Linked DNA regions of Drosophila melanogaster. The protein of the gene in region 2 purifies or fractionates together with the protein of the main gene of each other region. This does not show direct contact. Each region holds a gene or a part of one and is shown on either strand. Other genes may lie near its edges. The genes, in order: Rpt5 and Hsp27.

Region 1 (3,922 bases), on a different chromosome or scaffold from region 2:
ATATATTTTTGTTTATTTTAAAAAGGTTGGGTATTGATTTCAGTACGTCTCCCATTCTAGTTACTTTTAAGAGCCGTTGCGATGTTATTTTAAAGGCGATCTTCAAGGGGCAACTCAGATCGAAACTGAAAAATTTTACATTTCCATGGTTTATTTTAATGGGAGCTGACAATGTGAAGTTAAACTGCAAATTTTTAGTCTAAGCGTAGTAGTTAAGATTAGCCTTCTTCTTCGCCTGCACTTCCATGATGGCGTCCATGAAGTCTTCGTGCGTAACCGAATTGGCGGAGCGACGCAGTGCGATCATACCAGCTTCCACACAGACGGCTTTGCACTGGGCGCCGTTGAAGTCATCCGTGGATCGGGACAATTCCTCGAAATTCACATCATTGCTAACGTTCATTTTACGCGAGTGAATCTGCATAATACGGGCACGGGCTTCCTCGTTGGGATGTGGGAACTCGATCTTACGATCCAGACGACCAGAGCGCAGCAGAGCAGGATCCAGAATGTCTACGCGATTGGTGGCCGCAATCACCTTAATATCTGCAGTGGAACTGAAGCCATCGAGCTGATTAAGAAGCTCCAACATAGTTCGCTGGACCTCACGGTCACCGGCCTTCTCCGAATCGAAACGCTTGGTGCCAATGGCGTCCAACTCGTCAATGAAGATAATGGCAGGCGCCTTCTCCTTGGCCAAGGCGAAGGCATCGCGCACCAGCTTGGCACCATCACCGATGAACATTTGCACCAACTGGGGACCTGCCAGCTTGAGGAAGGTGGACTTTGTCTGAGCGGCGCAGGCACGGGCCAGCAATGTTTTGCCAGTTCCAGGGGGGCCGTACAAAAGGACACCTGTAAATGGCAAGGATTAATATGGTTGTGTGACATTTGTTCGAGTGAGATACCCACCTTTGGGTGGGTGAATGCCAAGGTTTTTGAACTTCTCCTTGTGCGTCATGGGCAGCACCACTGCCTCGATGAGCTCCTGTATCTGCTTGTCCAAACCTCCAATGTCGGAGTACTGCTCTGTAGGTCGCTCGTCCACTTCCATGGCTTTTACGCGGGCATCATACTCTGCCGGCAGGGTTTCCAGGATCAAATAGGAGTCTTTGTTGACTCCGACCAGATCACCTGGCTTCAGTTTCTCGGCATCAACCAGGCCGATGACGGGCAGGAAATACGCCTGTCGAGTGGATGTTTTGATGACGGCGCACTTGCCCTTTCGCTGGTTGTCCAGAACGGTGACGGAGCCGTCGTCCTCCTCCTCCTGTGGATCCACATCCAGCAGCTCTATTACATTGGACACCAGGTAGGGCAGTGTCTTGTTGACCTAATGGGGAAGTACTTAACAAATGAGGCTATTTGGCAGGGTGGCGTTTCATTGTCATCCCTACCTTGATCTTTTCGGTGTTGTCCTTGATCTTCTCATTTTGCGCCTGAATCTCGTGCGTTATGCGTATCACTTCGCTCTTCATGATCTTGATCTCGTTGTCCATCAGGCGAGTCCTGCTCACAATTTCATCGGTGGACATACGCATCACCTCCTCGCCCAGGGACTCCTCCCCGTCCTCCCAGATTGACTTATCCTCCAGAGTCTGAGCCATGTCTAATACGATTGTTGATTAGCCGTTGCTGAATGTAATTCTTTGTTAAAATGCTATTATTGCCGATCTTTTTGGGCAAACACTCTGTCGATGACTTGTAAATTTCTTGTTTTTCAGCGGCAAGTAAGCAACACTGAAAAAGTCAGTGTTGACAACAGAGCGCCATCGCCGGCGCTTATCGATAGTGACAGCGATAACACAGCGATAACAATACGGCAGGCTTTACACAGAACGCTCTATTCTGTAAAAGATTTGGCAATTTATATTTTAAAATTGCAAGTAGACTAGTTTGCAATGTCTGAAAATAATGGTAAGCGTAGCAAAACAAGCTGTAATGCTTGCTATAACTTAAAGTTGCCAAATATCGCGAATCTTGTGCCCTTGAAGAGTTCGCAACAAACTGACAAACGAGTCTTGTTTTTTCCCCCTTGTTTCCAGAAGCGTCAGTCGAAACTAACTGTTTCCGAGGTGGCTTCACCTTGAAGGCTTCTCGCCTGGGCGGTGCTGTCCTGCGCCCAGCAGTCTTGGCAAACAGCAGCGGCTCCAACAATAGTTCCACATCCCCAAGTGCAGGTGAAGACAGCGCCCTGCTGAATAATCCGTTTCTGCGCGAGTCCAAGGACGACGACGATGACGAGGAGGTGGTGGCCACCGGATCTGCGGCAGCCGAGTCCACTGGCGACAAGGAGGACGACGATGTCGACGAGCGGCCGGATCCGCTGACCAAGCTGCGTAGCAATGGCATTGAGCGCTCCAGCATGTTTGCAGCAGCCAAGAACAACATGCCAAATGTTCAGTCCAGCGGGTTCGTCTTCGGCCAGAATGTGCATGAACGTGTGGTGGCCCCCAATGCTGAACAGGTCACCGCTGAGCCGGATGCAGATACGGCAGCCAGCTCGGTATCAGCCCAGGAGGCTGCCTCCTCCTCCACCGCTGCTACGTCGTCCTCGGCGCCATTGCTCTTCTCAAGCGTCATTCAGAACGCTGCCCAGACCACAGAGACCAGCGAGGCCGCTGCCTCCTCATCCATTTGCAGCAGCAGCAGCAACAACAAGGAGTCCGCCGAGGCCAAGAGCCTGACGGATGTGGCCCGGGAGTATGAGGAGAGCCGCGCTCAGAAACGCAAATACGAGGAGGTCGAGACCTTCACCGGCGAGGAGGACGAGATCAACATTATCGACGTGAGCTGCAAGCTATTCGCCTTTCTTAACAGCAACTGGGAGGAGCGTGGTCGCGGCAGTCTGCGCTTAAACGACGCCAAGGACTTAAGGGGCGACTCGCGCGTGGTGTTCCGCACTTCTGGCAATCTGCGCCTGCTTCTCAACACCAAAGTCTGGGCCGCCATGGTGGCGGAGCGAGCCAGCCAAAAGTCCCTACGACTAACGGCCATCGACAACTCTGGCGTTGTCAAGATCTTCCTGGCCATGGGCCGACCGGCGGACATTGCCCAGCTACACAAGGCGCTCAGCGAACGGATTGCCAAGCGCAAGGTCTCACATCCCGAGGAGTGTTCCGTAGAGGAAGCGAAAAACGGCGTCGCCTCTGAGGCAGCGGCTAGCTTGCAACCGGAGTCGACGACTCACGACGACGAGGATGAGGATGCTGCTCCCGGACCGTCTGGTGCCATTTCAGCAGAGGCAGACAGCTACGGCCCGAGTCCCAAGAAGGTGATCGTCCAGCCCGATAGCAGCGCCGATGTCCCTGTGCCGCCCGTTGAGGAGGGCGACGAGGATGCTGAGGCCGAGGCCAAGGAGTCAACCGATCAGAATTAACCGCCGCTCGCTCTTGTTCTTTTTATACGATTCATACATGGAGAAATAAAACACTCACAACAAACACTAATTAATAAAGCGCGCCGTGAATTATTATAAATTAATTATAATAATTTATTAATAATTATTATTATTAAAAATAAAATAAATGAAGTGCTGATTTGTAAACCCGTGAGCAGCGTCGACAAAAGACATTTATCCATTACGCTTTGTGTTTATAATTTTTTGTTAAAAATGAAAACCGAAATTAAGATATCGATATCGATCGTACACGCTCTAATTAAAAGTTTTAATTTAATCACTATACAAACCCTATGTACTACTTTTCGCTTAGGAAATAATTTTTACAAGTTCAGCGCTTGCACTAGTCCTGGTCATAGCTCCACTGACTGGCATCTGGTGTGGATTCCAGCGGATCATCACTCAGTATTCAGTTATGTATTGGTAGAAAAAAATAGCGTTACGACGAAAAGTACAATCTAAGTGGAAGTAGCAGCAGGAGTGGATATCGAATATCAACCCATCCTATGCCCTCAGCATTGG
Region 2 (3,922 bases):
TAAATACTTATGATCGCTACAAGTTACGAGCATAAAACAACCAATATGAAATCAGAACGGGCAACTAAATTTTTTATTATGTATTAAATATTTAAATAAATATGTGCAAACAATTGATTAAATTATTTAAATGTCGTTCTTATCTTGGATTTTCTTTCAGTGTGCGCGGAACTGGAAATATTTGCATGACGTTTGTCAAAATGTAATTGAAAAACAAAAATCATTTCCCATTTTTTTTTATATCGATTTCTGAATTGTGCAAAATCATTACAAATCATCATAACAATCGTCGACAAAGGTTAAGCAATTGGCTGACCATTTAATTTTCCACAAGTCCAATTCAAGGACAAGGAAAACAGAATATGTACATAAGACCCCTTGAAAGTTAACGACACCCAACAAAAGCCGGTTTACCCTAAATGCAAATACATTTGCAGATTCGAAGCTAAAAAGGAAAAAAAACCAACAAAAACTCGACAGCTGACTTCTTTTCGTGTATTTGTATTTATTGTATTCGTTTATTCACAAATGAAATGCAAAATTCTCCCGAGTGTTGCGCCTGTTCTTGTTACAAAAAGTATAAACTCAAAGGGAGCAATGAATCCTCCAGTTGTTTAGCCTAATAATACACACTAAAATTTTGTTTTTTTTATGCATTATGATAAATGGAGTTTAAAATCACTTAGTCTAGGATGTTATGATGATGATGTAATGATGTGATGTGTGTGAATGTAATACATTGGGTGTGTTGTGGTGTGTCCTTTTTAGTCTTGCTCTCTCCGAGCAGCGCGGCAACACTCCCGTTTCTTCTTTTAAATTCTTCTTTCTCTCGTGCTTCGCCAGCGAATCTCGTCGTCTTCTTCCTCCTTCACGACTTCTTCCTCTTCTAGTCTTCTTCCTCTTCTCGTCTTCTTCATCTCCTAGTCTTCCTCTTTTCGTCTTTTACTTGCTAGTCTCCATTTTCTCGCCGCTGCCATTTTCGGCTTTTCCATCGCCAGCCTCGGGTGCCGGTGCCTTGACGCTCAAATGGGCAGGCCCCGTTTGCTGGATCTGGACAATGCGCTCCGACTTGGCCTGTTCCTTGCTGGGCGGCGGCGGGGCCTTGAGGGTCAGCACACCGTCGGATGAGACAGTGGACACTACCTCGTTGGGGTCAAAGCCCTTGGGCAGGGTATACTTGCGCACAAAGTGACGCTGGATCATTCCATGGCCGTCCTCGCGCTCCTCGTGCTTCCCCTCTACCACCACGGTGTTGTCCACCACCTTGACGGTCAGCTCGTTGGGCTTGAACTGCGACACATCCATGCACACCTGGAAGCCATCTTTGCCCACGGCGGGCAGCAGAGCGTTTGGACCCCCCGACGCGCGACGTGACATTTGATTGTGGTGGCCATGGCTCCTCTCGTACGGCGAATAACGACGACGACCCAGTCCCAGGGTGTTGGGCAGTAGCAGGCGACGCGGATGGAACAGATCGTGGGCATGGACGCCAAAACCGAAGTCATCCTCCAGCAAATGCCCCCAGTCGGTGCGGTAGTCATGATCCAACTCCCGGGCCAAGTGCAGCAGTGGTATAATTGACATTTTTGATTTTTTTTCTCTTTATTCACAACCCTGTCTAGACAAAGGAATTTTTTTTGCTTTTTCGAATTTTTTTAGCGAAGTTTGCTTCAACGTTTGCCTTCAATTTTTCAGTTTAGACTGTGCTCGGGCGACGTTGACGCCGGCTTTTATACTGACGCTGGGCTCACACACACTAGTGCATGGCAACCAGGGACGGAACTTTAATAAAATGATGGGGGGTTGCCATCTTCGTTAGATTTTGCCTGCAGAGAAGGTTTTCCCTATGATCCCCTAATGCAAATATAATAATATTTAGATATAGGCAAGCAATTATTAGCCTGTCAAACTTAAAATTTAAGCGACATTTAAAAGCCCCTTTGAATACGCCCCGTAATTCAACAAACAGTTTTCTCTCGCATCTTCTGGCTCTTTCTAGCACAGCCGGCTTTTCATAGAGAGAGGGAGAAAGAACCAGAAACTTCTTGACATTTCTTTTCTGGGGAGTTTCTCTTTGCGAATAAAAAGCAAAACGAACAGTTAAAATGCAGTACATACATATGTATGTACATGTACGTATATATGCAGATATATGTATTTATTTAAAGCATTTTCTTCTCTTATCGCTCTTTTAAAAGCTGTCTTTTCAGAGTGCAACAGAGCTTGTATTTTCATTGGACAAGTGCATTGAACCCTTGTCTCGCTTCGTTCTGCTCCTCATGTTTGCCGTTCTTTTGTTTGTTGCAAACATTTTTGCAGTTGCTTTCGCCACTGCTTCGCGAAGTGGGAAACGGGGCAATTGAAAATTTTGCAAATCATTGCCAGTCTGTTGCAAGTGTTTCGATTATTATATGTACATATGCATACATTTCTATATATATGTATATGTGTATATAGAATCTTTTTATTCTTGGTTCACCAGTTAACCAAAATACATAATTATTTTCAAAACTACATGCATACATACATATGTATGTGTATGTGTGCATGCACGTAATTATTTGCGGTAACATACAAAAATGAAGTTCAATTTATACATGTACATAGGTACGTGCTATAAGGACGTACATAACGTACATCTCTTGTAGAGATGACAGAAATTCATTAAAAAGAAGAGAGTGAAAAGGGATGTATATTCTTATGTACGTATGTATGTACATGATGTACTTATGCATGCTTTACATAAGGATTTAACCTTGACTGAAGTTCCTTACATTCATAGCTTCAAGTCTCTTTACCGAAGTAATGTAAAAAGTCAGTTATGTACACAAACAACAATTAAATAAAAATGCCATTTTACGTGACACAACAATGCAATATACAATGCAGAAAGTAAATTCTAGAAACCGGGATCACAGGAAAAAGGGCCAAGCTAGCCAAACAATTCCCAAAGTAATAGTAATAGTAACCCATAACCAACCAGAAAAACAGACCAAACACAATTATAAGTAAGTGTACTTGTTATTTATTTTTATGGGTAATATTAATTTCGCCAATTTAGTAATACATATTCCAAACTAAGATTAAAGCAGGACACCCTTAATGGCTATTGTGTATGAGTGAAGTGTCCTTGGATAACTACAGCTTATAAAACAGATGTATGACTTTGATAATGGTTAAATAATGCAGGGCATCTCTCGGAACGAGTCCTCTACTTATCGTTGCCATTGTCCTGCTCCACCGCCTCCTTGGGATTCTCCTTCACATTGAGATGGGCGGGTCCCACCTGCTGGATCTGAACGATGCGCTCGTTGCCCTTATCCTCGATTGCCGGTGGCTTGGGCACCTTGATGGTCAGGACACCATCGGAGGACAAGGTGGAGGCCACCTTATCAGCCTCATAACCGGGTGGCAGAGCATAGCGGCGGACAAAGTGACGAGTGATGAAGCCATGGTCATCTTCGCGCTCCTCATGGTTGCCCTCCACCAGGACGGAGTTGTCCTGCACTTTGACCACCAGTTCGCTGGGCTTGAAGTGCGACACATCCATGCAGACCTGGAAGCCATCCTTTCCGATTTTCGACACGGCTCCCGACGATCCCGACGAGGCGCCCACCTGTTTCTCCAGCTGGCGCAGCTGCTGCTCCATCGGTCCAACCAGGGCCAAGTAGGGATTCCTCTGGCGCTGGCAGTAGTAGGGCTCATAGAAGGGCACCATCGACATTCGGCCCAAATCGTCGGCAAGGCTCAACAACAATGGAATATTTGCCATTTTTGTTTTTTAATTGCTTCAAGATGATTCTCCTTCAAAGAATAAACTTCTTTTGTTGATAGGTTACTTTCGCTTTAGCTGTTATCGCTTTGGCTTTTTGAATTCAACTGACGCCGGTTGCACGAAAGTGCCGGTTATTTATACAACCGC

The links.
Region 1: the proteins of Hsp27 (region 2) and Rpt5 purify together in Drosophila melanogaster (affinity purification with western blotting, with the first as the bait; one study listed by BioGRID). This does not show direct contact.

The regions. Positions count from the first base shown.
Region 1 is NT_033777.3:23,750,699-23,754,620, reverse strand, and holds the start of Rpt5 (regulatory particle triple-A ATPase 5), read right to left. Parts: upstream 1,746-3,922; 5' UTR 1,608-1,745; coding exon 1,398-1,607; intron 1,334-1,397; coding exon 913-1,333; intron 856-912; coding exon 200-855; 3' UTR 1-199. Other genes in the region: RanBP3 (Ran binding protein 3), read left to right, coding at 1,902-1,917, 2,046-3,379.
Region 2 is NT_037436.4:9,381,848-9,385,769, reverse strand, and holds Hsp27 (heat shock protein 27), read right to left. Parts: upstream 1,708-3,922; 5' UTR 1,585-1,707; coding exon 943-1,584; 3' UTR 76-942; downstream 1-75. Other genes in the region: Hsp23 (heat shock protein 23), read right to left, coding at 3,212-3,772.